Lonchura striata: one gene and its partners. Each later gene encodes a partner of the first gene's protein in a complex. Links are inferred from orthologs where the notes say so. Each region holds a gene or a part of one and is shown in the gene's direction. Other genes may lie near its edges.

What was found.
Region 2: the proteins of SMAD7 (region 1) and SMURF1 are in contact, whole or in part, in an NMR structure (PDB 2LTX), measured with the Homo sapiens proteins. The link is inferred for Lonchura striata from reciprocal best matches to the Homo sapiens genes SMAD7 and SMURF1. Residues at the interface, in NP_005895.1 of Homo sapiens: Glu203, Glu205, Ser206, Pro207, Pro208, Pro209, Pro210, Tyr211, Ser212, Arg213, Tyr214, Pro215, Asp217; in NP_065162.1 of Homo sapiens: Glu313, Arg315, Ser316, Thr317, Arg321, Tyr323, Val325, Asp326, His327, Arg330, Thr331, Thr332, Phe334, Thr335.
Region 3: the proteins of SMAD7 (region 1) and NEDD4L are in contact, whole or in part, in an NMR structure (PDB 2LTY), measured with the Homo sapiens proteins. The link is inferred for Lonchura striata from reciprocal best matches to the Homo sapiens genes SMAD7 and NEDD4L. Residues at the interface, in NP_005895.1 of Homo sapiens: Glu203, Glu205, Ser206, Pro207, Pro208, Pro209, Tyr211, Ser212, Arg213, Tyr214, Pro215, Asp217; in NP_001138439.1 of Homo sapiens: Arg394, Asp396, Lys398, Arg400, Tyr402, Val404, Asn405, His406, Arg409, Thr410, Thr411, Thr412, Trp413.

Annotation. Positions count from the first base shown.
Region 1 is NC_134642.1:1,802,886-1,810,870, forward strand, and holds the start of SMAD7 (mothers against decapentaplegic homolog 7), read left to right. Parts: upstream 1-4,971; 5' UTR 4,972-5,056; coding exon 5,057-5,567; intron 5,568-6,476; coding exon 6,477-6,530; intron 6,531-7,985. UniProt on the Homo sapiens protein: Antagonist of signaling by TGF-beta (transforming growth factor) type 1 receptor superfamily members; has been shown to inhibit TGF-beta (Transforming growth factor) and activin signaling by associating with their receptors thus preventing SMAD2 access.
Region 2 is NC_134618.1:14,830,679-14,838,388, reverse strand, and holds the start of SMURF1 (E3 ubiquitin-protein ligase SMURF1), read left to right. Parts: upstream 1-4,660; 5' UTR 4,661-4,850; coding exon 4,851-4,905; intron 4,906-7,710. Other genes in the region: KPNA7 (importin subunit alpha-8), read left to right, coding at 847-927. UniProt on the Homo sapiens protein: E3 ubiquitin-protein ligase that acts as a negative regulator of BMP signaling pathway. Mediates ubiquitination and degradation of SMAD1 and SMAD5, 2 receptor-regulated SMADs specific for the BMP pathway.
Region 3 is NC_134642.1:459,385-467,428, reverse strand, and holds the start of NEDD4L (E3 ubiquitin-protein ligase NEDD4-like), read left to right. Parts: upstream 1-4,997; 5' UTR 4,998-5,296; coding exon 5,297-6,463; intron 6,464-8,044. UniProt on the Homo sapiens protein: E3 ubiquitin-protein ligase that mediates the polyubiquitination of lysine and cysteine residues on target proteins and is thereby implicated in the regulation of various signaling pathways including autophagy, innate immunity or DNA repair.

The DNA of each region.
Region 1 (7,985 bases):
CAGGGGTGGGTGCTGTGAATTCCCCCTTGTACCCACATTTTTTTGCATCCTTTTCCAACAGACCAGCCTTGGAATGGCTGCCAGCAGCCAGAAGCACCTGCACTGAAATGGTGATTTTAGCTTGCAGGGCTGTGTGACAGCAGTGAGCACGGGATCCTTGTCTCCCTGTGCCACTCACCACACAGGGAGGTTGCTTGAAGAATGTTTTTCTTTGCAGACCTTGGGTTTCAGCTTTAATCTGCTCTCCTGAAATGAGCTGCTGGAGTGGAAGGAGACTGGCTACAGCCAAAACGGCTTCACAACCCAGACTTTGAGCATTGCTTGAGAGCTCTGCTCTCAAAATAATGCATAAAAATAGAAGCAGGGCCACAAGCTTAGCTATTCCTAATGTGCACAAAAGGATGGGAGAGTGCCAGGAGCCAGCCTGCGCTGCCTCTGCCCCTGCCTTCAGCCTGGCTTGTTCTCTCCTACCTCCCCTGACTGGCTTTTCACTGCTGTGAAAAGGAGAGACATACCCCCAAAAGAGCAAAGTGTGTTTGTTATTGACCCTCGCCTGGAAAGTGTATGAAGAGGGATCAGCTCTGTTTGTTTGTACCCGGTAATGATGTCAGGAAAAGGGCTTTTTTTTTTTTTTTTTTTTTTTTCCCAAGTCTGGTTTTATCCCCTTTGTTGGAAGTGCCTTTGGTGAGTCTCACACCCTGGTGCTGTTAGCAAAACAATTAGGTTAACAGTGCCTTGGCTCCAACTGTCTGTCAAAGGTTGAATTGCAATGCAAATCAACCCGGCTTTAGCTCTTCAAAGCCAGCTGGGTTCAGCAGAGGTCCCCAGAAACCCCCGTGAGAACGGAGGGCTGGGGCTGGGGAGGGTGGGCTCGCCGGGATTTTACATCCAGGACCTAATGTGTTTGGCAGGAGGGATGCAAAACGTTGTGCAAACACATTATACAAATGTAACACATTGTATAAATCCTTTCAACACTCAAAAGGGGCTTAAACCGGGAGAGACTTTTTTAGTAGGGCCTGAAGTGTCAGGACAAGGGTTGATGGTTTTAAACTAAATTAGGGGAGATTCAGACTATGTAGGAAGAAAAAAATCCTTGGCTGTGAGGGTGGGCAGGCCCTGGCACAGGGTGCCCAGAGAAGCTGTGGCTGCCCCTGGATCCCTGGAAGTGTCCCAGGCTGGGTTGGACAGGGCTGGAGCAACCCGGTCTGGTGGAAGGTGTCCCAGCCCTGACAGACGAGGTGGAACAAAATGAGCTTTAAGGTCCCTTCCAGTCTAAACAATTCTTGAATTCTATGACTCAAACATATTTTATTTCTCCTCGGGGATTAACAGTGCCCTTCATGCATTTCAGGACAGGTTTCTGGCCCAGGGTGACATTTGAGCAATGCATCCAGAGCAGGGCAGGCTGTGGGTATCACCCTGCTTTCCAAGCGTCCCCTCGGCCCAGGTCCCCTTCCCAGATTTATCGGCTTCATTATGCTTGTTTCTGTATTTTCCATATGGGCACATACATATGGTCTGTTTAAACAAGTTTTCAGGGTTAATTGGAAAGCAGTTCTTTATCAGTTATTTAATATTTAGCAATTCTGGGGCAATTTCCACTGCAGAGATCACAAAACCAGGCAAGCGCTGATGGCCCAGCTGTACCTGTGGGAAATCAGAGGTGCCAAAGCCCGGGTCCCTACTCACAGGGAAAGGCAGGTGTCCCAGGTCACCTGGAGAACCTACGGCAGGGACAAAAAATTATATTAACTCCTGGACCCCATTCCTGTCCTCCACCTCCTCACATCACACAGCATACTGTACTTTTTGTTGCTTCCTTCATGACAAAAGTAATTGTAGCTGTCAGTGATGAGGCAAGTGGAGCTGCAATGGAGAAAATTTAAAAAAGGAGATTTTAATCTCATTTATAATAGCCTGGCAAGTTTTGAAAAATTAAAAAGTATAACGTATGGATTAATGAATGTGTCCAACATGTCTTTCACCAGCAAATATTGGAATGAGAAGGAACTCTTTTTTCCCCCCTCCTGATTTTCTATATTCATCACAGGGAAAAGAAATTGAGGTTCTCTGAGGAAGTGAGGAAATCAGTTTCAGTGTATGTGAGGTCACTCCAGAGGCTGTAGGACAAAGTGTTGAACTAAAAATATTACCCAATTTCCATTTTTCAGGGTGCAGAAGGCATAATTTTAAAAGCAATGGGACTTTTTTTGCAGGTACAGACCCAAATGCTGGTGCTATTATGATTTACCCCAAGTTATCACCTAAAGACTGTAGAGCTGCGCCCTGGACTCCGCTCCCACCTTTAATTACTTGGAGGTGAAGGAAGGAGCCAAATTGCCTTCCTCAAACTCCAGCTTTGTAACAAAGCTTCCTAAATTATTCTTTCTGATGCCAGCAAATAACATTCTTTCCTCCCCAGTGTTTTTTCAACTATTTATCTGCATTTTGAGCAGATTTTGTACCTGGCTAGGTGTAGTGTTGTTAACATTTAACAAGGCTACGCCCAAATCTAGCCACTTTGTGACTAATTTAGGTGCAGATTCCTCAAATGCCAGGCCCGTTTGTGGCATCCCCGACCTGCTCATGTGAATATATGCGCAACTGGGTGCTTAAATTATCCCTGCCCTCCTGCCCACCCCAAATTTAGGGATCCAGAAGATACACCCCAGGGATGCCCTGCCTGCACGGGACGTTGGTTTTATATGTGCTCTACCCAGCGTCACATTTAGTTGGGTGCAACATTTGTTTTGGATGTCTTTGCCTTTGGATTTGAGCTCGACTTGGTTACAGCAGCCATGATTTAGGAGTCCCAGCTCCTACTTCCGACACGATAACTGCCTCGGAGAGTGACCTTAAAGCAACCCATCCGCCCGCAGTTATTCTGTGAAAAAGGAGCTGCTCCTCCGTGGGAGTGCGTGCAGGACGGGGACCCCTGGGGACTTCTGCTGCCCTGCCAAGCCTGGCGCTAGGAAGTCTGGCCGGACTTCCCAGCCCGGCCGCAGGGCGCAGCAAGGCTGGACGAGAGCGCAGCCTCTTGGTGGCTCAGCTTTCCTCACCCTCTGCCGGTCCAGAATTGGAATGGGGGAAATCTGTGGAGCGCCCAGGGTGCCAGGGGTTGTTACCGCTTAGTAGCACCCGTAACGCGAATACCGGAGTGCTACTCGCCCGTCATTGCTGCTTCGTGTTTGGAATCGGAGCGTACCGAGCCTCCATGGTGTATTTTCCTGTCCTCCTGGTGACAGGTGCTGTAGCAGCACAAATTATTATTATTATTACTATCATCATCATCATCATTATTATGACTGCTTTTTGTGATGCGCCCTCGTTCTATACCCAGAGCCATATCGATTTTTTTTTTTAAATTTTTTACGCTGATTTGGTTTAATATTCCAATGTTTACAGCGAGCACCGGCACACCCCAGTCCCGGGAGCTCCCCACGCTGTGCCCCGCGGGGTGCGGGGGGGACACCCCAGTCTCCCCGCACCCCCCACCCAGGAGCAGGTACGAAGGGAAGCATCGGGAGCGGGGCGCGGCGGCGGTGGGGTGAGCCGGGGAGGGGACGCACGGACCCACAACCTCTCCGCAACCCGAGCCGCCTCTTGCGCAAGGCGGTTGGAGATAAATATAATATATAGATATATTTATTTATTTTTTTTTTTCCCCCGGAGCGACACGGTGTCTAGACGCCCACGTGACGGGGCCGGGCCGGGCCGGGCCGGGCCGCTGCGCACTGCGAAGCCGCCGCCGGTGCGGGGGGGCCGGGCGAGGGCGCAGGCACCGCGCCGGCTCCGCTCCCGCCCCGCGCCGCCGCCGCCGGGGGAAGGCGGAGGTGCGGGGAGGGCGGCTGACTGCGGAGAGCGGAGGGGCGGGAGGGGTGGGGGGGAAAGGGGGAGGAAAAAAAAAAAAAAAACCCCACGAAAGGAGGAGGAGAAGTAGGAGGAGGAGGAGGAGGGGAAGGAAGGCAGGAAGGAGGAGTGAAGAGCAAAAAAAAGGCACCGCGGCAGAGGCGCCGGCAGCAGGGAGAGGGTCGGCGGCCGGCGGGCACCCCCGCACCCATGTAAGCTCCGCCGGGAGCGGCGGGCCCGGCTCGGCCCGGCGCGGCTGCTGGGGAAGGCAGGAAGGAAGGGACGTAGCCCCACTTTTCTCCTTTTTTATTATTTTTTTATTTTTTTATTTCCTTTCTTTCTCTTCGTAGCAGCCGGATCAAGACTCCGTGTGGATTAAACCTTTGGAAAGAAGGAGGGGAAAAAAAAATAAAAGCCCACCCCGAAACCCCCACATCAGGACGACCTGGGCTTTTTAAAAGGGATACAACACTCTGGATGCGCTCGTTCGCCTCTTTTGTGACAGATGCTTAAACCGACGTCCAAACCTTAGGGTTGGTGTTTTGGGGCTCTTTTTTTTTTTTTTTTTTTAACATTTTTTTTAATAGCCTTTTTGGCTCGCTCTTTTTGTTTTTGCCTGCTGGCTCTGCCCTGCGCCGCATCCCTGCCGCCGCGCCCGCTCCCCGGCGTGGCGGGTTGATGGGCGCCGCGGCCCCGGGGCGGCCGAGGCTCCCCCGCGGCTCGGGCCGCGCTCCGCACCCGCGCACGGCGGCGCGGCGCCGGCAGCCCCCGCCCGCCTGCCCCCGCGACGAGCGCCGCGGGCTCTAGACGGGGATTTTTTTTTTTTTTTTGGTTTTTCCTTGCTTTTTTGGGCAAAGCCGGAGCAAGCGGCGACTCTCTCCCTTCCCTTCCCCCAACCTTTATTTTACCCCTCCTTTTTTTTTTTTTTTCCTTCTCAGTTTTGAATTTTTTTTTTTTTTTCTTTTCAATTCGATTTTTCTGTAAATTTTCTCGCAGCGGGCGGAGGCGCGGCCGGCGCATCCCCCCGCGGGAGGCGGCGGGACCCGCGGCCCCAGCGCGGAGACTGGCGCATGCCACAGCCCGCCTCGGCTCCGCTGCCCCCCGCCGCTGCCCCCCGCCGCCGCCGCATCCCGCCTGCCGGCCCCTTCATGCTCGGCGGACGACATGCCCGTTTTGTAGCCGGGGGCCCCTCCTCTCGTCCCGCATGTTCAGGACCAAACGCTCGGTGCTCGTCCGGCGGCTCTGGCGGAGCCGCGCGCCCGGCGGCGAGGAGGAGGAGGAGGCGGCGGCGGGCGAGCCCGGCGCGGCGGCGGCGGTGGCCGAGCCCCGGGCGCACTTGGGCGGGGGGCGCGGGTGCTGCCCGGGCAAGGCGGGCCGCGGCGGGCGGGCGGCGGCGGGCGCGGAGGCGGAACTGAAGGCGCTGACCCACGCCGTGCTGAAGCGGCTGAAGGAGCGGCAGCTGGAGGGGCTGCTGCACGCCGTGGAGTCCCGCGGCGGGGCGCGGACCCCCTGCCTGCTGCTGCCCGCCAAGGCCGACTCTCGGCTGGGACAGCACTGGTACCCGCTGCCCGTGCTGCTCTGCAAGGTGTTCCGCTGGCCCGACCTCCGCCACTGCTCCGAAGTGAAGCGGCTATGTTGCTGTGAATCCTACGGCAAGGCTCACTCCGAGCTCGTCTGCTGCAACCCGCACCACCTCAGCCGGCTCTGCGAGCTAGGTACGGCGGTGGGGATGGCGGCGGATGCGGGGGCTGAAGGGGTTAGAGGTGTGTAGGGCTTGGAGGGATGTAGGAATATAGGGGAATAGAGGTCACACGAGGTTGTAGGGGATTCAGGGGTGCAGGGGCTGGAGGGCATGCAAGAGATGGAGGAGGTGCAGCGGCGCGGGGGCTGGAGGTGTGCAAGGGATGGACGGGATACAGGGATGTGGGGAATGGAGAGGCTGGGGTGCAGGGGATGGAGAGGATGCAGGAGTGCAGGGGCTAGGGATGATCCAGGGGCTGGAGGTATGTAGGGGTTGGAGGGCATGCAGGGGATGCATGTATGGAGGGGATACAGAAATACGTGGATCCAGCCCCACTCACCTCCCGGCCCACAAAACTTTTTTTTCCCCCTTCTGGAGGGGAAAAAAACCCCAACAAACAACAAACCAAAATCAACCCACAACAAACAACAAAACCCAGAACACGCACAAAATCTTTCAGTTGCCGTGGTTTATGCATTTCATTTTGTATTTAGGGGAGGGGGCGACGCCCCCACCTCCGGGACCCCCTCCCCTCCCGGGGGCCCCGGCGCTGCCTCCCCGCCGTCCCCGCGCGGTGCCGGGGGATTAAGGGCCGGGCGGCCCCGGCGCTGCCGCGGCTCCGCCGAGCCAAGGAGGCCCCGATCAGACAGCCCGAGCGGCAGATAGCAGGGAGACTGGCGCCAGACGGCCCCTTTTGTTTATCTGACAGCTAAATATCAAGGCAATCACCGCCTCGCTGCCCTGCCTCCAACCCCCAGAGCTAAGACAAACAGTTTTGCTAAAAGAATGCCACTGTTATCATAAGTTCCTATCTTTTTTCTTTTTTTTTTTTTTTCTTTCTCATGGCTCTGCCTTTATTTTCTCTGTACTTCTCTAATTCCAGAGTCTCCCCCTCCACCCTACTCCAGATATCCAATGGATTTTCTCAAACCAACTGGTAAGTGGATTTTTTTCAATGCAAGTGTAAGAGATAAAAAATGGCAAAATAGTTCCTTTATCGGGGAAACAGCCTCCTGCCTTTGTCATGCATTTTGCTTTTGGGTTGCTTGTGTGCCGTGCCTCCTGCTACCCCTATAACAATTAGCATATAATTTGTCTAAGCCACCTTGTGCACAAAGTAGGGGTTTAAAACTATGGCAGTAAACTTCAGAAGGGATTGCAGCACAGTGCAGGCCTGTGCTGCTTGAATCAGCCAGGAAAACCATAGGCTCCAGTTGGAAATGGCAGTGCTTCTTCACCCCTGGGTGAATTTTTAGGGATTTAGGCTGGGATCCAGCACAGCATCTCCCTGATGCCTGGGAATCCCAGTGAACCTTGACAGATGGACTGGTTGGTTAAAAATCTCTCTAAGTTTTATAGAAGCCTAATACTACATCATCTTGGAAAAAAAAAAAAAAACCGGGAAAAGAGTTTGAAATGTTGTTTTTTTAACCTTTTTAAAATTTAAATTTCTTAGCACTGCTGTGCATGCCTGTCGCTTGTAATTGAATGTCAGGGTGCCAGGGGAGAAGCCCATTTGAGGCTGGCACCAGCTCTTTTGCGGTTGTCTGCATAAACTCTTGGTTGGCAGCGAGCTCGCTGGGTGTGAGATAAATGAGGCTGGGAGAAGGAGGAGAGGTGGGGAGAGTCGGAAACGTGGGGAGCTCGGGAGGAGCAGCTCCTGGCTTCCTGAGGATTAGTGGCTCTGGAGTGGGCTGGAGCACGGTGGTCTCTGCGGTCGCGTCCCGCGGTCGTGGCAGACAGGGGAGGCACGGCACTGCAGGGTGGCAAGGGTAGATACACAGATATTTCTGAAGAAAAGCATCAGAGTGTTTGGTTGGGGTTTTTTGGCCAAAAGAACAGTGCCTGTGAAATCACCTCTCTGCAGGGTCTCAGGGCTAAAAGAAACCCCAGCCTTGAGGCTGCTCTGGTGTGGTGGTGGGGTCTCATCCTGCCAACTGCTCCCCAGAGGCTGGACTGTTGTTTTCCCCCTCAGCAAACTCTTTGGGAACACTAAGGAGTCTTTTTTTGCCTTGTGAAAATAAAGAAAGCTGTTTAACAAACAATTGGGTTGCAAAGCATGAACTATCTTGACTTGTGAAAAAACCAGGAGATAAGGGCTGGTGAATGCAAGAGGGACATCGGAAGTAGGTTCAGCATCCACAGCATGTGCTGGGATGCAGAAGTGTTGTTCTGCAATAGACTCTGAGGGTCTGCTGGGTTCTTTTTGTGGGTTTTGCATAACTGTGGCTGCATCCCTGCAGTTCTCCCCCAAAAGTTCCTATTTTTTTTGCCTTTATGGCTTTTCTCTGCACTCATTGATGATCCTGGCATGGGATGCAAAGGGGGTTTGGAGCTGGAGGAGACAAGGGTTAAAGCTTGGTTTTGCTTTCCTATAAAGATGTTAGGATAA
Region 2 (7,710 bases), on another chromosome or scaffold:
TTAAAGGTCTGTAAAAGCTCCGAGTTGTCAGCCAATGAGTTGGGCAGCAGACATGGATGCCTTGATAGCATCTTGCTGCTGGAATTTAAACTGGCATCAGCTGGAGTTACTGCAGTTACTGATATGAATACCAAATGTGGAGAGGTTTCCTCCTTCAGAGCTGAGCTGGCTTGTCACTATGAATGGCAGCCTCCTACTCAGCTGATAACAGTGCTCAGGTTGCATTTGGATTACTTGACCCTTCTCATGGTAAAGAATCTATGGAAAAAGAAGATAGGACACCAGCTAGGAGCTGCAAGGGTCCAGTGACTGTCACAGGAGCCATGTTTGGTCCCAGCCTTAGACTTGCAGATGGGAAATCATCAGGGAAGAGGCTCAGAGGCCTGGCAGACCTTGGAACTCACTTTGGGTGTGAGCTGCAGCAGGGGGCAAAGGTCTGGTTTAGTCCTTTGCCAGAGCAGGGTCTGTGGGGTGTCCCTGTGAGAGGCTGTGGAGGAAATTCTCCACACCAGCTCCTGCTGGAGGGGCTGGATTCCAGGGGAACATCCCCCTGAGCAGTCCTGGCTTGTTGCTGTTCCAAGCAGGCCATTTAATTTCAGTGAGCTCTACCACTGCAGCCACTTTTATTTCCTTTTGCTTCTGGTGTCTGAGCCCAAAGGCTTGGCTGCTTTTGTGTGGGCTGCAGGGACACTGCAGCTTTAGGGTGCTGCAAGGAGCAGGAGTTCTGTTACAGTCAAACTGAGATTAACAGGATTTTTAAAGCAAGAATAAAACAGAGTTGCTGTAAAAAGCTTAGGTTTATTCAAATGCAGACACTATAAGTAATTTCTGTCATTTTCCTCCTAGGAGAGCATAAACCTGGAGCCCCAGACTGGCCAAGATGGGCTGTATGATTTCTCAGTGGAGAAACAAGACTTCAACTTCTGAAGATGAAGCATGACACAGCTCTAAACTGGTGGGTGGAGGTACTTTGGAAGAGCTCAGACATCCAAATTGTCAGGAGTAGAGATGTTGAGCCTTTTTACTTCTGAAACTTGTCAATAAATTGCACTTTTTGGCTTTGTTCCTTTTGCCTTTAATTATTTCCCCCCTTCTTTAAGCTGCTGTTGCAAATGACATGGCTTGTTTTGTTTTTTTTTTTTCCAGTAGCATCTTAAGGTCTTGCAGGAGTGTTTTGGAGCCCCTGATCAAGTTTTCTGGGTGGGATCTTTCTTCTGAGCTGTAGGAGAGCAGCATGCTGCCATCTGATCTTTGTTCTGAAACTTCTAGACTTGACTTGGAGTGGCTGAAGTAGCTCTAAAAAACTGTTTGAGAGATGTTTCACCTTTCTGCAGGCACCATCATTGCTGTGGGAAAGGAGCTGAGCCAGGCCCAGGTGGATCAGTGGCCTTGCTGTGTTACTTCACCTGGAAGATGTGGATGTGGGAGCTGCTGAGTAGATGCTGCTCCTTTGGAAGGGAGGTTGTTGGAGGCAGTGCAGGGGCAATGATTCACCTCTGCTGCAGCTTCCCTGTTGCCATCCATCAGCCTGCAGCCCATCGATCTGGCTCTGCTCTTTAATTCCAAGGACCTGTATTTCAGGTTTCCGTGGTGTGTCCCTGGCTCTTGTTCTCCTTCTCTCTAAGCCCTCCAAGTGTGGTCTCCAGCAGAAGGTGAGGATGGAGTTGAGCCCATGGCACAAAGGTTTTGTGCTGTGGGTTCTCAATGAGCTGCTGGCCACTGCTCCATCCTTGCAGTGTTGGTGGTTCCCAGCAGACCCTTCCCCAATCCTTTGCTACCCAGAGCTTGAAGCAGCTCAAAGGCTTTGCTGAAGGCAAGGTGAGGGAGCAGCTTTCCCTCCCTGCTTTGGGGGTTTGGCTCTTCAAAGTGTCCCTGGGTGGGCTCAGGGCTCTGCTGCCTCAGGGGCAGTGGGAGGTGATGTGACAGCTTAATCTGGAGGGGAAATCTCCTCTTCAGGAAACAGAGGCTCTTCCTCTTCCCTGGATCTGTTCATCAGAGGATTTATGCATTTCTCCTGCAGGCCACCCAGGGAAAAGGGAGTTGGTAGTAAATGTGTTCTCTGGGAGGAGCTGGGCAGCCCCGCTTATGGGTAACAGGGCTTAGTATCATTTATTTAATATTCAAATACTGGGATCTGATGAAATGCAAAGTGCTTCTTACATCCAGAACTATGGACTTAGACATGATACAGCACTGCCTGAACATGCACCTGAGCCAGGGCTGCTGCTGCCTGGGCTCTGTGGGCTTCCCACTGCTGATGGGGCACCTGGGAATGGCCACAGCTCCCTGGGCACAAGGAATGTGAGGAAGCTCTTTCCTCAGACACAGAGCTAGGGCCTGTGTGCCTGCCCCGAGTTTGGATTTTGGTCCTCTGTGGACCAGCCCTGTTGGCTTTTCCCATGGCCCAGGCAGGGCTGCTCTTTGCTGATGATCTGATTAAGAGAGAAATAGGAAATATCTTGGTTTCTTTTTCTGGCATGTGCTGGACATAAATCTGTGGTGGGTGGTGTTACACAGAGCCAGGGGCCCAGAGCTGTTCCTTTCCATCCTTGTGTCTGTAACTTAACAAAATATTGTCCTGAAGGCAGAGGCCAGGACAACATGCCCCTCCTAAAAAGAGTGTTGGGACGTGCCTGCTGTCTCCCCTGGCAGCTGAAGAACTGGGCCCAGTGCCTGGGGATCACCAAGGCTCTGTGTGGGTGTGTGAGCGACCTGCAGGCAGCTGCTTGCCTGGCCTGGGGCGCTGCCCTCCCCTGCCAGCCCCAGGCACAGGCAGCAGCTCTGGGGCAATTCCAGCTGGGGGGCAGTGCAGGCATCCCCTCCTCCCAGGGGGATGGGATGGGACACCAGTGAAAGGGGCATGATGATGCTGTCCTTCCTCAGGGCAGCTCAACCTCCCTCCTGTCATGCACAAAAAAAAGTAGTTTTTCTAATTAAAACCTTCCCCAGAGGAGCAGGTGGAGGATCATTGAGGCTGGGAAAGACCTCCACAATCTCCCACTGACTTCCATCAGCTTCTACCCCTTTAGTGCCACCTCTGCTCCCTGGAACATTCTCAGGAGTGGGGACTGCTTGAGCAGTCAATAAATCTTTTCGAACATCTAACCCTGTCACAACCTGGGGCTTTTTCCTTTGTGTTGGCACTTGGGAGAAGAGTCCATTCCCCACCTGGCACCCTCCCATCAGGGAGTTGTAGACAGTGAGAAGGTGCTGTCCCTTTTCTGGAGATGGAACAGGCACTGCCCCCGCCTGTAGTGGTGTTTACCCCAAATTAAGACTCCTTTATTCCTATGCTACTTTCAGGCATCCCTGTGCTCCCTCTGTGTCCCCCCATACATCCTCCATGCCACTGTGAGAGCCCCTATTCACCCCCAGGCACCCTGTCACCCTCCTGCTACCCTGCATGTTGCCCCTGTTCCACCCCTGAGATCACCTATTCATCCCTAAAGGGATCCTATTTGTCCCTTTTCATCCCAGGACAGCCCTAGGCACCCCAATTCCTCCCATTCCACCTCTATTTGCCCCTATGCTGTTCCTCAGGTATCCCCCATCACCCTTTCCCCCCACATCCTGCTCTTATTCTGCTCAATTCCCCCATTATTATCCTCTATTCTCCCATTCCTTTTCCCTCATTTCCCCTCTATTCCCCCATTCCATTCCTTTTCCCCCATTCCCTCTATTCCCCTGTTTTCCCATCCCTATTCCTGAATTCCCCCTCTATTCCCCCATTCCCCCACCCCATCCCTATTCCTGAATTCCCCCCTATTCCCCCATCCCATTCCTTTTCCCATGTTCTCCCTCTATTCCCCCATTCCCCCCCTATTCCCCCATTTCCCCATCCCATTCCTTTTCCCGTCCCCCCTCTATTCCCCCATTTCCCCACTCCCATTCCTGAATTCCCCCTCTATTCCCCATCCCTACTCCCCAATTCCCCTTCTACTCCCCCATTCCCGAATTCCCCCTCTATTCCCCCCATTTCTCCATCCCCATTCCTGAATTCCTGCTCTATTCCCCATTCCCCATCCCTACTCCCTAATTCCCCCTCTATTCCCCCATCCCTATTTCCTCACCCCATCCCTACTCCCTAATTCCCCCTCTATTCCCCCATCCCTATTTCCCCACCCCATCCCTGCTCCCCAATTCCCCCTCTATTCCCCATTCCCCCATCCCAACCCATCCCTGCTCCCCAATTCCCCCTCTATTCCCCCATCCCTATTTCCTCACCCCATCCCTATTTCCTCGCCCCATCCCTGCTCCCCAATTCCCCCTCTATTCCCCCATCCCTATTTCCCCATCCCTACTCCCTAATTCCCCCTCTATTCCCCCATCCCTATTCCCCCACCCCATCCCTGCTCCCCAATTCCCCCTCTATTTCCCCACCCCATCCCTGCTCCCCAATTCCCCCTCTATTCCCCCACCCCATTCCCGTTCCGCCATTCCCGAATTCCCCGTTCCCCCGCGCTCTCCCCTTCGCCAGGGGGCGCTCCCCGGACCCCTCCCGCGCATGCGCCACACCCCGACCTTCCCCGCCCGACCTTCCCCTCATGGCGTCCGGCCGCGGCCGCGCCGCTGTGCGCGCTGACGTCACCGCCCTCCGCCGTGCGCGGGGGCGTGGCGGGGGCGTGGCCACGGCGCTCCGCGGCCGGGCCGGGCGGGCGCGGCGGCGGCTGGGGCTGAGGCGGCGGCTGAGGGCGCCGAGCCTGCGGCGGCCACCGGAACACGGATCCGGGCATTCCCGGCATCGTGAGAAGCGGGCGGGCTCGCATGGCGGGGCTGCGCGGGGCCGCCGGTTGAGCTCGGCGCCGCCGCCGCGTCCTCCTTCTCCTCCTCCTCCTCCTGCTCCAGGCGCGATGTCGAATCCCGGTACCCGCCGGAACGGATCCAGCATCAAGATCCGCCTCACAGGTAACGGGGCGGCAGCAGCGGCGTGTGTGTGTGTGGTGTGTGTGGCCGCACACCCCGGGCTGGGCCCGGGGTCCCCTCCCCTCCATCCCCTCCATCCCCTCCCCTGGCTGTGAGGGGAGGACCGGCCGGGCCCGAGCTCCCAGCCTCGCTTAACTTTTATCCACCGTTTTTCTGTTCCGCTTCTCCCTCTGTGGCCCGACAGAGCCTCTCTGCGCTTTTGTGTATTTCTATTTTTTCCCGCCCCTCCGGCGTGAGGTGGCTGAGCCCCCTTGGGGTGACATAAATGTGAGGAGGGCGGGGGTTTGTCACTGTGTCCCCCTCGTTCTCCAGCAGCTCAGGGCACGCTTCTCCTTCCTGGGGGCTTTCCTGCACCCTCCCCCATGGATGTGGCACTCACCACCCCTCCAGCACCCTGACCCTAGATGGGTCCCTCCTGCACTCCCGATGGAACATCCCTGTTGATAACGCTCCCCTGCATTCTGCCCAATTTTGGGATCTCTTCTGCACCTTCCCTGGCCCTGGGCATCCTTGTGACACCTTTCCCCCTTCCCAGCTCTTTCCCAGGATTTTCCCTGTTCCCTCTCCCATGGGGTATCCCTGTGCTGCTCTTCCCTGGGGTCTCCTCTTCACCATTCCCAGCAGGATTCCCAGGGCCACCTCTCCCACTCACTGGTTTTCAGCACAGCCTGTCATAATTTGCCTTACTTCACTTTAATTAACAACCCCCCCAACCTCCTGTGTGCCAAAGAGGATAACTCAGTTGCTAATGAGAAAATACCCTTTTAGTTGCTTTTAGCTGGATGGTTTTGTGTAGTTTTTTTTTTGTTTTGTTTTGTTTTTTTTTGTTTTGTTTTGTTTTGTTTTTTTTTAGTGTGTTTCTTTAATTTTGCTTCCTTCCTCTCAGCTTGTTTTTACCTGGCACATTGTGGCATTCACCTTTGGAAGTTCCTTCCCTGTGCAGGAGGTGACACCCAGAACTGTGTCTGTCCTGCCTCTGTGTGAGGCCTCTGGAGGGTTCATGGATGGATAAACCAATTTATGTTGGACCCTGAAAGATCTGGATTAAGTCTTTTGGAAGCTGCTCTGGTCGAAGCCGAGCCTGCTTCTTTAATGAGAAGCTGTTGGGAAGTTGAGACTGCTGTGTGAATTATTAAAAAATAAGGTCTAATCCATTCTTTCAAAGGCAACAAGTGGATGTTTGGAGGTCAGTTGGGCTGGAGAAGCCACAGTGCAGCACTGGGTGACCAGAATTGGTCTCTGGAGAGGGATCTTCTGTGTGTGGGTGCATAAAACATTGTCAAATAATGAGAAAACGGTGCTGGTGAAACTGCACTTACAGGTTAACTTGCTCCTGGCACACAACACACTCAGAGGCAGATCATCAAAAAATAAAAATCCTGGTGTTCTTTTAATCCTTTGATTCTGCACCGCTTGTGCTTCAGAAGACCAAAGTTTGTGAGGATAATGTAAATCTGAAAATCCCTTTCTTGGATGGGAGAAGGCTGGAAATATTTTTAGGTTGTATGAATGATGTTTGATCTGAAATGAGTTTTGTGGTGATGTATACCAAATGTCAGCTCAGTCCTTAATGTGGCTTATTTTTATGCAAGTCAGTCAATAAAAATGTGAGTTAAGTAACTTAGGCCATGGTCATAGCCCTTCTGAGCTGGAGGAGATAATTTAAATAACAGAGAGAAGCTGTTGAGTTTAATTTTAAAGGCTGAATGCTGCAGCAAAATGCTTTTTTACTTTTAGCATACACTAGTCTTCTCTCTGGGCTGGGAATGTTTCCTGGAACAGACTGAAGTTTCAGTTCATTGAGCAACTTGGTAGATTTATTTTTTATTACTCCCCATTTTTAACTGCATCGAAGAAATCTCCTCCTTACTCAAACACATCTTCTATTTTTACAAGCAGGAAACCTGGGTGATGTGACAAAAACTGCTGTATTTAATCAACAAATAAATTGCTCTGGGAGAAGTTTAGTTCTGGAATCGTTGGGCAATGCTGAGTTCTTGGCTGGGACTGGGGTGCTGACTTACCTGTCTCAAATAGCTGCAGCCAGCCTGGCTGTTGTTTTCTCATCTCCTCGGCTCTTGGGAGATTTGAGCACATTTAAATCAAGACAGAGGACCTCGTTTGTTATGATTTACTACCTGCATTGTGTTTCCTGTGATTAGGCACCGTTGAAGTTTTGCAGTGAAAATAGCAGTGTAAATACCACTTAGTATGCCTGTCAGTGTCATTGGGTGAATGGCAAGGGAACAGTGGTTAAATCTTCTGTGATTTTTTTTAATCATAATTTTTTCCTCATTTGTTCTAAAGGTATTTACAGTAGCGGAGTGTTGGGGTTATTTATGTGAATATAAGCAAAAGTTCTCAATCTGCTGATGATTAGCAGAAGTGGTCTCCCAGCTTATACAGAATGTGTAAGGATGTCAGTCCTAGCCTGATGCAAATTGTAATGAAGTAAAATGGCAAATAATGCACCCTGTGCAGAAATACTAAAAACCTCAATGTAACAATGAGTTGCATGACAGGTTAAAATGGCTTTGTGGCCTGTTGATCTCAAATATGCTAATCTCCTGTCATATCTCAGTTTCTCCTCTCCTTTTCACTAAAGCCTTTACCCCAGCTGGTGATGCAAGAGCCAGACAGTTTTAGGCAAAGTAAGAGAAAACTTTCTGTTAAATCTATGGTCTCTTCCTATCTGTGCTGCCATCAGGGCAGCGCAGCAGTGGCAGAATTGCCAGCACAAGGATGGAAAAATAAAGTGATCCTGTGAGTGCACATCCTTGCCAAATG
Region 3 (8,044 bases), about 1.3 Mb from region 1:
GCCAAGATTCCCCATCTCTGCTAGAACAGAATTGTCGTGGGTGTAAAGCCAATTTCTCCTGTCAGCTCTGCCCGTAGATCTCTGCTGTGTGAGAGCGTGAGGGAATGGTTTGGCATGAGCACAAAATCATTGGGCGTATTGTCCAATTGTTTTATACTTACTCAAGCTTGAATTGCCCAAATTACTGTTTGTACTTCTCATCTCTTTTGTGTCAATTAATTATGTCATGTTTGAGCTCACTTCAGCTGGCAATATGTATGGACGTTTATTCTGTGCATTTTAGTCAGGTTGTTAAAATTAAAATCCTTGGGCTGGGAGAACATTGGAAGAGTATCTTACCTGTTCCCAGGAATAACCTTTTCTTTTGGTTTTACTTTTGGTTTTTTTTTGGGTTGGTTTTATTTTTTTTTTTAATTTTTCTGTTTATTTCACAGTATAAATCTGAGAATATTCTTGGAGCCCCAAAGTTGCTTTTGTGATTAAAAAATACTTTTTTTCTCATCTGGGTTTAAATGAATCTTGAGAATGAAATGTTCTTCAGATTTTATTTCTATAGGTTCTCAATGATTTGTCTTTTAATCATCAAATTCTATTTATATTTAATGTCTATTTTAGGGTCATCTGACTCACATATCCTCTCACATTTGGTTTACTCAATAGAGAATCTCTAGATGGCAATGTATTTTTCAATTTCTTTTATTACATGCTTTTCTTTCTCTTTTATTTCCCTAGAAAACTGTCACTTGCATGTATGTTGTTATAATTGCACACCAGAAAACATTTACATTAGATGTAAATATAGTTACTTTTTTACAGACGCTGAACCCTAAATGGAATGAAGAGTTTTACTTCAGAGTAAGTTTCTCTTTATTTGTGGTCATTATTAGAACATGTACAGCTAATGTTATTTTCTATTTGTATGTTTACTCCAGAGACCTGCTTGCCCTGATGTACTTGCTGTTGTGTTTCTGAGGGGATGGAATGCTCAGCAGGAATTGGCTTGCAGGTTCCTTAGAAACTGTTTCCCAACCTGCAATTATATAATTGTGAAGGGCAGTCACTTTGCTACTCGGTTGCATACAACGTTCTTCCAAGGAATAGTTGACTTGTGACCTGTAGTGCAGCTGTAGCTGTACAAAAGCGGGTCAGGTAGGATTGCAGGGGTTTCAAACATTACCCTCGAGCAGTGCCTGAGGGCTGGTGTGGCAGATGGGAGCTCTGGGACAGCAGTGCCACCAGTGGAATGTTCCATGCACAGGCCTCACTGCCGTGGGGAGTGCTTACTGGGACACCTGCACCAAACAGCTTTTCTGGGGTTTGCAGCTGAGATCTAGAGTCTTAGGAAAAGGGAGTGCACAACCCTGCTGCAAAACCTCTGGTGTAGTTCACAAATGCTCTGTTAAAACATCTTGAGTGTCCTCAGCAATAACGGGACCTGTAAAGTAATTTAGACACTATTTTGTGTGTCACAGTTCTCTGATTTTCTCAAAACTGGGAAGTCCATCTCCAGCCCACAGAATTGTTGTATACTATTTCTAAATTTTCTTAATTCAATATGCTGGTCGTAGTAACCCAGCTTGTAAAGCTTCTCTGAAAAAATATATCAACTGGATCAAATGCTATAAAACTTGCTTAATAGCAGCTGTTTTGTCTTTCTGACAGAGTTCTTTTTATGTTTGATTTTGACCTTTTAAATGTTGGCAGTCTTTCTGCTTCAGTTTAAGTAAATAATTTTCTGGAGGTATATTTGCTGTTCAGGTGTTGGGGAGATTTCTGCTGGTTGTTCCAAGGATGTGAGTAATAAATGGGCTAGAGATGATGAGCAGTGGACAGTCAGAAACATATCTGAAGGTGAAATTCTGAAGGAAATGCAGCAAAATTCTTGCTCCTCATAAATCAGTCAGGGAGCCTTGATATTCTGTCCAGCCTGGGACTAGGGTCCTCTGCCATGGGAATGCAGGTAAAAGCTTTCATGTCAACTGCCATGCTCTTCCCAGTTGCAGTAAGGTTCTGGTGCTCCAGTTCAAGTAAAGATTTACATCAGACCTGTTAGTCCTGTCCTGTTTGCCTTGATTGCTGCCTGAGCTAGTACCCAGGTTGTTATTGTCCAGCTACTGAACTTGCAGTGACATTTGGATTTTCTCACAGGTAAACCCAACTAACCATCGGCTGCTGTTCGAGGTGTTTGATGAAAACAGACTGGTGAGTGCTTGTCTTGGTTATGTTCTGCTAATCACGAGGCTCCGTGTGCCCCAGCTGATAGAAATACAACACAGCTCAAAGGTGTCTTCGGACGGTTGTTTCAGTGAGCGTGCCAAGAAACACAAATAGAGGTGTAAAAACCATTTGAGTCTGGGACTGAAAGGGCACTAAAGTAGTGCCTTTCTGAGTCGGACCAAGATGGTCCTCCTCACCCTCACTCTGGCCTTCTCAGGCCTCTCCACTTCAAACCAATAAAGTCCTGACCTTTTCAGTTGCTGATAAAGGAACTGCTTTATCATTTTAGTGTCCCTTTCCAGTCCTTTAGTGCTTCTGCATCTTGCCTGGGGAGGTGGTTACCAGAGCTGCATCTTATGCGCACAGTGCATGCGTGAAGGTTTAAGGTCATGGCAGAATGGTGGGTTTCATCTCTGCCTCACAACGCTCACATGTTGTTAGTGGTTTCGTCTTTCCCTGCCTTTGGCTGATGCAGTAGCTTTTCAGGAGGAGGCTTTCACCATTGACTGCTGCTAGCTTCTGGAATAGTTTTATCCGTGGGAAAAGTGTCAGTATCCCTCTGTACATCTGGGGTTAAACGTGCCAGTGCGGTGGCACACTGGTGGATGGCTCTTGGGGGTTTGCCTTTTGAACATTGTAACACCAGCTCTGTTCATGAGATCAGGAATTCACATTTTCTGGGGTGGAGAAACTTGTTTGCTTGCTGAAGATAAAAAAAGACTGTAAAAGCATCTGTCTTCAACAAATAGGTTCTTTCCTTCTATCTTCCTCATAAATAAAGAGCAAAGGAAACCACAGAAGCTGTAATCTGGGGAGAAAAAGGACTTGGCAGCTGAATGACTGGATCTTTTCTCAGGAGGAAGTAAATTGGTGAACCGGTGGCACTGTGCCTCTACAGTGGCTGACCAGGAGCATATTTATTTTGTATATAATGGTTATAATGCCCACTTGCACTATTAAAACTGCCATGCGCCATTGGAATGCGAAGGTGCCACAGGAACAGGGAGGTCGGGTTAGAGAAAAAGCTTCTATGCATTGACAGCTGGGAAATTACAGGTTTGGGATACTTATTTCAGACATACTGCTTTGGATTTTCGAGTTTGGGTGTGCAATACCGGCCGTACTGTGGCAGTTTCAGCACTTTTTATTGTTGAAGTAGTTTGTGTGTATTCTCCTTCTGTTCTGCCTCCAAACTCAGTCTGTCCTTGGCCTTGGAACTTCCTGGCCAAAGCAGCACCTGGGGTTAGGAAGCATGGCTTTCCTTGCAGAAGGTCTGTGGCAAGCTGACTGCTTCGGGGGGTTTGGAATAGCAAGTTTCTATCAGGTTGTGTTTATAGAGTGAGGAGACGCTGAGCTGATACTTTTGGCTTTACTCTCACATACTTATTGTCAATATTTAAATGGCTTTTGTTGGAAGGACTTTGTTTCTTCTTGTTCCCAAATTACCAAAGCACACTCTGTCTTAGCAGGTGTCTTTGCCTTTCTCTTCCCCAGTCTCAACAGAGTAAATGTGATGCAGCCTCCTTTTGGATGCAGAGACCGTGTTATTGAGTAACATGTTTTAGCTGAAAAAAAAGATAAAATAATACCAACACCTGTGCTTCTATGATGCAATCTCCAGGACCATTGCTGTGTGGAAGCTGTTCACATTTTTGTTGCGTTTCATAACCCACATAAAAAATTGTGGGATTGTGCTGGTTGCTGGCAGTTTGATCAATTTGAGCTGCCGTTGCTCTTGGGATTGGTAGTTTTGTGGCTTTTGAAAGCAAGCTGCTTGTAAGCAGAGTTCAGATGTCTCAGCAGAGGACTGACCCGCCACATACAGGTTTTCAGAGCTTTTGACAAGATTTAGGCTTTCTAGTTCTCGCAGGGAGCAGCTGTCCAGGCCCTGAGATGGAGCTGCCTTCTGGTTAACCAGAGTTTTTCTGGTATGTGCTAAGAAGTGCGAGTGCCCTCAGGGCACTGAGTATCTTTGTTGTAGCAGAGCTGATTTAAGGTGGTTGGTGCACGTTCTAGTGTATCCTGTCTGCCTGTCCTTCTCCTGAGCTCTTCTGGCTCTCGGAGTGTAACTGTACTCTGTGCTGGCAGTGCCACGCGTGGTGGCATTGCTGACTCCCTCGCTGGAGGCCAGCCAGGAGCAGGCAGTTCTGTGCAGGGGCTGGGACAAATCAGTGCAAACAGACATGCAACACCCAGCTCTGCTTTTCCCTCACCTGTACTGCCTGGCAGATCTGGAAAAGGAGCTTTCTGACTTGCTGTCCTGCACATTTCTACTGGTTTTACTGTGTGAGAGATCTTTGCCATACGTATGATTGCTTTGTTGGTAATTTGTAGTTGCTCAAAGGGAACTGCAGGTTATATTGCTGCTGGGGCTTTTTAAAGTCAAAAGTTTGTTGCTTAATTTTGTTATGAGCACGGTTAAAATTTTAAGTGTAACCATGTTGTATTTATTCCTGTTCTGCCATGACAGCTCAGAGCTGTAACACACTAAAATGTTGTGCTTGAAAGAATTTTCCTCATTTGCATGTGGTGTTGATTTAAGCTTTTAACACAAAATGGAAGCATTTTGTTGTAGTTAGAGTTTTCTGCAAGTGCTTTCTCCCAAGTGTGCCCTGTGAATCTGATGTGGTTTAGATTTATAGCAGTGCCGAGTGTATTCGCTGCCTCAGTCAGCTGCGAGAGCTCTCCCTCTGGGGCCGCTCCTCCCTGATGGAAAAGGAGCAGCTGGGAAGGTGCTGTTTCAGGCTCTTGCTGGCATTAAAAAAAAAAAAAAAAAAAAAAAGGAAAAAACAAACTCCTCACACACTTACATTGGAGAGGGGGAACCAGGCCACGTGACTCCCACCATCCTACCCTATGTCACCGTGTGTGTAGGAGCGCTGACTGCTCCTGCCCAATCATGCCTGGAATGCTGCTTGCCACTTGGGCTATTTCTGCTATCTGTCGCTCCCAGGGCTGCAGTGCTAACCGATTGGCAGATGGGACACTTTTTCCTGGAGTTTATGTCTTTGGTTTTTAACTTCTGGCAGTGCCTGAATTGTTGCCGTTCTCCCTCTCCTTTTCTCCTCTCTGTAAAATCATGGCCCATCGGCTGCGGTTTCATTTTGGCTCTGGGAGAAGCAACACAGCCCCCGAATCGGAGAACCTTGCCCGGGAGAGAGAAGATGACTTTTTCATGGCATTCCACACCTTGCCAAGAAGAAGCAGCCCTCACGCGTTCTCGCGGCATGGACCGGATTACGGCGGCGACGGAGATTTGCACGAAGTGGGCTCCTTGAAAAGGAGCACATCCATGTTTATCCCGCAGCTGCTGAACGGCATCGACGCGCGCCCCACCAGGAGCTCGTCCATGCAGATCTCGCTCCAGCGCAAAGCTGCCGACGGCTGCGCCGACGAGTGCGCGGCCCCGGAGCCTCCGGAGGAGACGCTGCCCTGGAAAGTCTCAGACTTCAGGGAGCCGTATGCATCCCCTGTTGAAAAGCGCTCTTCTCCGAGCGCTCTGCAGGTGACTCCTGAAGGTTCTTCACCCGGGCTGACGGAAGAGTTGGGGCAGCAGACAGATGGAACTGTTTGCTGTAACCGTAGAATGTTCTGTAGTACTAATTCTCAGAGCGAGGAGGCTCTGCTGACTGCCCAACGACAAGAAGCGAGTGAAGCGGCTTCAGGTGTAAACATAAGCGGTGTGAGGATTCAGCATCGCGCCTCAAGTGCGGAGGTTCCTCAAGTTACTCTACTTCCCTTTGGTCCTGACGCTCCAAATAGCGCTCCCACCTCTGAGCCCCGGCGCTGGTCCTTGCAGCATGTGCCAGATCTGTCAGCAAATTCAGGGAAAAAGTTCTTTGTTCTCCAGTTACAGCAGCCACAGACAAGCAGTACGGGCGCAGAAGGTGGCAGTAACTTTGGCTTTACCGGAACAAAAGGGGACAGGTTGGTCAGGTACCCTCGGATACGGCTGGAAAGGAGTACTTCCTACCCTGTCCAGCCACCAGCAGAAGGAATTAGCCCCACAGGTGATGGGCTGAATTCGGAGCTGCCTGGAGACAGCAGGAACAGGGCAGGAATACCTCGAAGTGATTCAGTAGAGCGGATGCCTCAAGGGCAGGGATGCTTGTTTAAAATCAGACCAGATCAAAACATGAGGCAGCAGCACTTCAGAATTCTTGTCACGCGTGGGCCGGAAGAACAAAGTCAGGCTGTTGGTAAGGAGGGTCGTGGCACCCCTGGTCCTACGGCAGCCGGCACCGCAGTAAGTATGATGGGCGTGCTGTGCTGTGCTGGTAAAACACGGATTGCCTTACAAAGGCTGCCACACTGGAGCCAACTGCAGCACTTCCATTGTTAGCACTGGAATGTTCTGCGTTTCTTTGGAGCAGGCCACAAATTGTCTTTATTTCTAATCTAATGTAACTTCGCTCTTCGTTATGATTACATCCAGTGTAATATTTTCAGCTCTTACTGTCACGTGTTTCTTAATTCACATTAATTCCAGCTGTTACGTCAGCTGGAAAGATTTTTTAAAATCAGAGCATTCAAATAGCAAATTAAATGTTTCTGTTAGTTTAGTTGGCTGAGGCCTTGCTGCGTAGAGAACTCTTTGTGCACTCTGGTTTTAAAAACAAATACTTTGTCACTTTCTAAGTGTAATGGACACACGTGGACCTCTGCACACTTCTAAAATGTGTATTGTAATGAAATAGTTGCTAAGACTGTGGGAATCTTAGAGTAAGTTTAATCAAAGTACTGGCTTAGTTAAGGTACCAAGAAGTCTGGGGAAAAATAATATTTATTAGTAATTTCTTATACTAATCTTAGAGTAATTTTTCTTTCTTCCTTCTGGAAGTGAAAAACATGTCATGCCTTTTGTATGCTGCAAGTCCTGATCCAAGTCCAAGTGCAAGTGGTTTGACACAACTCAGTAAACAGTCTGTTTGGATTTGCCTTGATTTGGTGTTAGGATGGCAAAATTAATCTTCTGGGTTTGCTTTGTTACAGCAGGCGAGGATTGATGGCTGATGTTTTTCAGCCGCTTTTCCAAAGCCTAAAGTAGGAGCAAACTGAAGGGTTTAGATTAGTCATTTGCTTAAATTGCTTTGCTGTGCAATCCAACACGGCCCACTCAAGTTCCCAGCTCAGGGATGCTCTATTTAGCATTGCGAGCTCTGGCTCCAGCTGTGGCACGGTTGCTGAGGAGATTTCAGGCTCCATGGCTCCTGTGCTCCCAGGCTCTGAAATGCAGCACAGGGACAGCTGCTCCCTGCAGCAAGGCCAGGAGTGACTCTGCAGCTTTCCCATGGAAAAGCTTATGGACTCGGTGTTTTTCCAACCTTCTTTGGAGCTCTTGAAAGCGTGAAATAGAAAGAAATCCCTCCCTGGTACAGGTTTGGTTCCAGGACATGTAAAGGAGCAGAAAAAAAGTATGTCTTATTTTCCCTTTCCTCTTTGTTATCCCTTGCTCCATTCCAAGATCTGTTGTTCATGGAGACCCACTGCAGCCAGTTCCCTAAGTAGCTGTGGGGTGTCAGACCTAGCACAGAGGCAGCAGAGGTTTGCAGAGATGTGCCCTGGGTCTGTGCAACAGTTCTCATTTTCCTAAAGGATCTCCTCTCAAAGTCCCTGTTTTCATCCCCCCTGTAGTAACAATTCCCACCCCAAAGACTTGCTTCAGTAGTCCCAGAGGAGAACGAGGAAATCTGTTCCTCTGTGCTCTTGGTTTGAGTTACCGTGTTGAATGGATTGAGGCAGCTGTGCAGCATGGCAGGCACAGAGGTGCCCAGCCCACATGGCACTGCATCCTGCAGGGCAGAAACTCTCAAAGGAAAAGAACTAA